Linked DNA regions of Saccharomyces cerevisiae S288C. The protein of the gene in region 1 interacts with the protein of each later gene in a pairwise test. Each region holds a gene or a part of one and is shown on either strand. Other genes may lie near its edges. The genes, in order: RHO5 and TRR1.

The links.
Region 2: the proteins of RHO5 (region 1) and TRR1 interact in binary tests that used the Saccharomyces cerevisiae proteins (3 or more experiments, as listed by UniProt).

The regions. Positions count from the first base shown.
Region 1 is NC_001146.8:299,145-302,503, reverse strand, and holds RHO5 (Rho family GTPase RHO5), read left to right. Parts: upstream 1-1,854; coding exon 1,855-2,850; downstream 2,851-3,359. Other genes in the region: PBR1 (putative oxidoreductase), read right to left, coding at 2,946-3,359. UniProt on the Saccharomyces cerevisiae protein: Small GTPase that negatively regulates a MAP kinase branch, downstream of SLT2, of the PKC1-mediated signal transduction pathway.
Region 2 is NC_001136.10:1,181,250-1,184,778, forward strand, and holds TRR1 (thioredoxin-disulfide reductase TRR1), read left to right. Parts: upstream 1-2,049; coding exon 2,050-3,009; downstream 3,010-3,529. Other genes in the region: SBE2 (Sbe2p), read left to right, coding at 1-11; YPQ2 (Ypq2p), read left to right, coding at 552-1,505; TRP4 (anthranilate phosphoribosyltransferase), read left to right, coding at 3,498-3,529. UniProt on the Saccharomyces cerevisiae protein: Central component in the thioredoxin system. Reduces thioredoxins 1 and 2.

The DNA.
Region 1 (3,359 bases):
CTCATCTCAAGAAAAGAAAATGTTTTTTTCATAAAAAAAACAAACTTTACAGCAAGAATATTATACAGGAAAGGTATGGATGTTACGGAAACAAAAAACAGTCTCATTTAATCATGAGGAATTAGATTATTCCAAAGGAACATGAAAAGAAGTGAAATCAAGAAAAAAAAACAAGAGAATTTACCGGCGGCCAAAAATACTAACGTAATCCCGTTGACGTTTACGCATGCAGTGTTGTAGGCTCACCAGCAATTATGTTAGTTGAGATGTAACTGCTTCGCGTGAACACTACGTAAATGTTATTGTGTGGAACTGACGTGGACCTTTTCTGTGTTGCTTTTAGTATAACGATATCCATCCTTTTACTTGGATTTTCAAGGTATGTTGACCCTCAATAGTTTGAGCCAGCACGATGGCAGGCCCTTAGGCAAATCAAAAGCATCATGCGGCGGAGGATTTATCATCGTGATGTCATTTAGGATAACGCTATGCATCTTATGCCTGCTGCCAGACCGCGAATTTTTATTTTTTTTATGGTCTGCTTCTGGATCATGCGGGCCGGCCTTCTAAGACATTGACTACGCAGCCTTTCATGTACAATTTTACATTTGCCTGAGGATTGTTTGTCAGGTGTCGCGGCCACAATTCTCCGATTTTCTTCCTGCCATGTCCTGCTGCTTACATCAGCGCAGCACGTGAAAAAAAAGAGGAGGACTTTTGAGGATGGTTGAGTTTTTCTTTTAATCGTTTTGTTTCTTTATTGTTTTTATTTTTACGACATTTTCCCCTCGAAGAATATTTATCCGAAATCTCCTCAAACAAGACATAAATCAAGATGCAAATGGTGGTAGATAGAGAAAGCAACTAAAAAATGTCAAACAAGCGTCCTTATTTCATTCTACAGCGGTTAATTTCAAATACCCTAATCGGAGGTCTTATCTTATTTTTCAAGGGCAAGGCTCTCCACATCGGTAAGTGATGACCAGATAATGGAAAGTAGCAGAATTTTATTTATGTGCCATACAAGCCCGGAGAAACAGAGTAGCTAAAAAATTAAGGTGTGCAAAAGTGGTTTTGTTCCCCGACGCCCGGGCCTTTCTCTCCCCTGAATCTTTTCGTTCCGGCCCCCCTCTCTCAATACCAGATCTGCATCTATACTAAAGCTGCAGTGAGAGTAAACCGGAAAATTATCCTGCGTGTTTGCTTCGGTCTTAGCTTTTACTTGGGTATGCGAGAACCTCTAAGAGCTTAGACCGGTCTTCCTCCCTAAAAAGAAAATTATAAAAGGTTATTATCTGGACTAAAGCAAAAAAAAAACAACGTTTCGGCGTCCGCTCAAAATTTTCATTACGCTTCTTGGTCAAATCAGTTACGTAACGGGTTATGACGAATACGATGAGATGAGTAATTGCAGAAGGCTCCTATGCAGACAGCTAAGCAGTGCTTACTTGAATTACCTTCCCTTTTATTTCTTGATATATCGTCCTTTTTCTCTCTATCTTAGTTCTTGCGAGTACTGGCAATCATGTTTCTCCTTTTTTTTTCTTTTTTTTTTATTTTTTTTTTTTTTTTTTACTTTTCAGTTTCTCGTAGCTTTTCCTATTTTGCTATTTAAAGTAAGTTTAAATAGTACCCTCACTAAACACGTACGGCCGATCCACCAACGAACAAAAGCACGATCCTTGACCCATCATTGTATTCCAAAGCGTTGGAACATTCACTTTTTTTTTTCCGGTCTATTGCACAAGACAATATCCAGAATATTCAGTTGGATAGGAAATACAAGACAGGTGGCACCCACAAAGCACACGCCGAAATATTTATTAAATACAATATAGTATACTAATAAGTCTGATGAGGTCTATTAAATGTGTGATAATTGGTGATGGTGCAGTAGGTAAAACGTCACTTCTAATATCATATACTACCAATTCGTTCCCAACAGACTATGTTCCAACGGTTTTTGATAATTATTCTACTACGATAGCTATCCCGAACGGAACTGCGAGTAGCCCCCTAGAGCTTGACAATGGTAATGATAAAAGAGGTTCACTTTCATCTGCCAGTTCTTCACCAAGTACGGACAGAAAACTATATAAAATCAATTTATGGGACACTGCAGGACAGGAAGATTACGATCGTTTAAGACCGTTATGTTATCCCCAAACAGATATTTTTTTAATATGTTTCTCAGTAAGCGAACATGCTAGTTTTGCCAATGTCACAGAAAAATGGCTACCTGAACTGAAGCAGACTTCCAATATTGAAGGTACCTCTCTTTATACTAAATTAGGGAAGTATCCAATTCTATTGGTAGGCACCAAAAGTGACCTAAGAGATGATCCGGCAACTCAGAAAAAATTGCAGGAAGCAAACTCCGATTACGTGTCTCAAGAGGAAATAGATGAACTCGTACAAAGATGTGGGTTTATGGGCTATACCGAATGTTCAGCTGCTACCCAAGCAGGTGTCCGGGAAGTCTTTGAACAGGCGGTGAGGTACGCTATCTACGAACCAGAATCCCCTAACCAAAAATCAGCAAATCATACTCTAACTGATGAATTAACGACTGCAACAACCAACACCAATGGAGATAAAAATATTCGAGAACAAAAACAGCAACCACACCATAATAATAGTACAGATAGTACTCTTCCGAAAGGAAGCTTACAGCAGGAGAAGGAAGCTCTCAATATCAAACCCACAAAAAAGGGACAAAAAGACAAAATTCACGAGCAATCAAAAAGCAAAGGTAGTAAAATTGCCTCAAATAATCATCACAACAAGCAAGCTAAACCAAAGACGAGAAACGACAAGAAGAAAAAGAAGTCAAAGTGTGTAATACTTTAATATCAAGGAGGCAGAAAAAGTAAATAAATAATTACATATACCGATATCATAAATAAGAAAAAAAGAAATCTACACATATATTTACGTTCTCATTTCTAATCATCTTTTCTACTCTTGTTCTGACTCTTCTTTTTAGAATTTTGATTCCCGGTCTTATTGGCATTTCTCTTTGCCGCGACTTTCTTTTCCAATTGTAAAATATCTCTTTCCGTATTATCAAATAGTTTCTTCTGTAATTCCTCGTCATCAAATTCTTTACGAGCAAATTTCACAATTGAACAGTCTGAGATATACTTAACCTTCGTGTCTTTTAAGTTTACTTCCTCCAATTCCGGTGTCATTAAAGCGTACAAGAAACTTTGATCACCACGACGACCACTCTTGGTAAACAGCCACAATATGGGGTACAACAGAATACAGTAAAGTATTATTAACAATACCACCGAACCATTACTAATGACGCGGCGTAGGCTATTTGATCTCATAGTTCCAGGTTGAACCATAGTAAT
Region 2 (3,529 bases), on another chromosome or scaffold:
AATTACGTTAGCGTGTATGTGGCACGTACTAAAAGTTTGGTGACCAGACTATCTCTTCTTAAGTTCATTTTCACTCTGAAACTTATAAATGCATACATACAGAAATTACTTTCGATTAATATAATAATATATTTTTAATAAACAATGAACTAATGCCCTTATTGTGTTTTGTTATTAACCTTTTCATCACCATTTTTTTTTGCTAGCTTCTACGGCATTCACTTACGTGCTGCAAAATTTCGCAGCATGGAAGAAATTGTTCGCGAAGAAAAAAGATTTCGCTCAGTGATTTGTAGTGACAATAGGTACCAGTGTTATCACTAAGTATATCTTTTAGTATATCTCTTCGCTTGAGGAGGGATCAAAAAAAAACAAACGTAAACGTGCACATAAACGTCAAGTACTTTTTGCAGGCATTAATATTCGTCTCCAACAAAGACAAATAAAGAAGCAATCTTTTCATTACCTTAAGCCAGTATCTATTGATATCAATCGATAAGGTTCGTTGTTATCGGTGCTAAAAATTATAAAGTGAAAATAAGAATCTTTTCATGTCGTGCTCAAACGGCATCTGGCCTACTGTATCTAATTTGTGCGGATCATTATCCTTCTTCACCTCTGTTATTTCATTGTTTCCACAAATAATTGAGACTTATCGAGATAAATCTGTCGATGGGCTATCGCCATATTTTTTGCTGGCTTGGTTATGTGGGGATATTACCTCGCTGATAGGGGCAAAGCTAACAGGGCAATTGTTATTTCAGATACTTTTAGCAATTTATTTTCTATTGAATGATTCTTTTGTATGTGGTCAATATTATTACTATGGCGTGCTGCATGAAAATAAATTGGCGACTGTCGGCCATGAGCCTAAACCTCTTCTTCCCGAACTGGTTGAAAATGGTGAGCTTTTGAGGGAGGAAGAGGACATGATACAAGGTGGTAGCAGTGCAGAAAGCCCTAGAAGCAGTAGAAGAAGGTCTGCCATTACAGCAGCCTTGGCTATAGCTCATACTATAAGTACAGCTAGCGCATATCCGCTAAATGTAGGCTCCACCCAATCACAAGTGGGGCCTCCCGGAGATGGTAAAAACAGCCAGCTGGGTACAATTTTATCTTGGATTGGCGCTTCCTTCTACGTAGGCGCACGTATCCCACAACTAATCAAGAATTACAATAGAAAGTCTACAGACGGCTTATCTCCCTTCCTATTTGCTACTACACTACTCTGCAATATCACGTATAATTTGAGCATCTTCACAAGCTGTAGATTTTTAGATAATCAGAACAAGAGGGAATTCATCGTGAATGAGTTGCCCTTTATATTTGGAAGTGCTGGAACAATTGCGTTTGATTTGATATACTTCTACCAATACTATATCCTTTATGCAACTGATATGCAACTACGTGAACTGGAAAGAGAACTATACAGTCCTGAAGAAGACAGTGCAGCGCAACTAGTGACAGAACGTACATCACTGTTGTCTGGTGAAACGCAAACATAGTTTTCCCTACGGAGTACTACCATTTATATTTAAACAATGCACTCTGCTCTTGGGATAGTCCTTGCGAGACCCTTTTTTCCCAATAGGAATACTACGTTCGTACTCTGTGTAAAAGTACCCAACTATAGTTAGCGCCAGTTTTACGTAAAACCGTCTATGTCTTGTTTGCATTCGCAACAGCTACAAACACATATAGTTTGTCACACTAATATTAATAATGAAAGTTATTATGTATTCACTGTGAACGCTTCAGTATACAGTACGGCAGTAAGTGTTTCATTCTGTTCTGGATTAATAATCTTTCACTTTGCCTAGCCATTTGGGGGCGGGTTTTGGCTGGGTTAGCTTCTCCTTAGTCATGGAGAAAAAAAATCGCCCGCAAGTATCTCGAAAAAGGAAAAAATGCCCACGCGTATAAGAGTGGACCCAACTGCTCGAGGTTTCAAGAGCTTGTAGATTAATTTCTGTAGTTCAGTTATACTTGCCTACAAGTGCTATACAGCAAATAGCGAACAGTACGAAAGTAAACATCATATTATCAATAATGGTTCACAACAAAGTTACTATCATTGGTTCAGGTCCAGCTGCACACACCGCCGCCATCTATTTGGCCAGGGCAGAAATCAAGCCAATCCTATATGAAGGTATGATGGCGAACGGTATTGCTGCCGGTGGCCAGCTAACCACCACTACAGAAATCGAAAACTTCCCAGGTTTCCCAGATGGTCTAACAGGTAGCGAACTGATGGACAGAATGAGAGAACAATCCACGAAGTTTGGCACTGAAATTATCACGGAAACAGTTTCCAAAGTTGATCTGTCTTCCAAACCATTCAAGCTATGGACCGAATTTAACGAAGACGCAGAACCTGTGACGACTGACGCTATAATCTTGGCCACAGGCGCTTCTGCTAAGAGAATGCATTTGCCGGGCGAGGAAACCTACTGGCAAAAAGGTATTTCTGCCTGTGCCGTGTGTGATGGTGCCGTCCCCATTTTCAGAAACAAGCCATTGGCCGTCATTGGTGGTGGTGACTCTGCATGTGAAGAAGCTCAGTTCTTGACCAAGTACGGCTCAAAAGTGTTTATGCTTGTCAGAAAAGACCATTTGCGTGCTTCTACCATTATGCAAAAGCGTGCTGAGAAGAACGAAAAAATTGAAATCCTTTACAACACTGTTGCGCTAGAAGCTAAGGGGGATGGTAAATTATTGAATGCCTTGAGGATTAAGAACACTAAAAAGAATGAAGAAACCGATTTGCCAGTCAGCGGTTTATTTTATGCAATTGGCCACACTCCAGCAACAAAGATTGTCGCTGGCCAAGTCGACACTGATGAAGCGGGCTACATTAAAACTGTCCCAGGCAGCTCATTAACCTCCGTTCCAGGATTTTTCGCTGCTGGTGATGTTCAGGATTCTAAATACAGACAAGCTATTACTTCTGCTGGCTCTGGTTGTATGGCCGCTTTGGATGCTGAGAAATACTTAACTTCCCTAGAATAGATGAATTTTCCATTATAAAATAGATACACTCAAATTTTTGTATACTTATCCAACAAATCGTTACTTTCTCCTTTTCTTTAATAAAAAGCAAACCATGAATTTTATTTCTTTTCCCCATTATTAGAGAAAGCCAATACATAATCTACATATATTGCGTGTCTGAATTAAACTTTTTAGACACATGACATAGGCCATCGGCTTACTTTGTAACGCGTGGTTGCCTATACACCGACTATTAAGTTATGACTAATATTATTGCTGCGCTTCCCCACCTGCATTTTTCTTGTCGTCTTTGCCAAAAGGAAAAAAAAACCTACGCAGATTGACTCTCTAAAAAATGATTCATGACCAGACAATTCAGTAAACATAAACTCTGTTGCATTCATTCTTCTGGAAAACTTTATAATAAAGCATCTGATATTACAGCTACTGACAACTAAGTGAATTTAAACTGCAATAATCACAAGAAAACTTAGTATTCCCTTATCATGTCCGAGGCGACTTTGCTATCTTACACCAA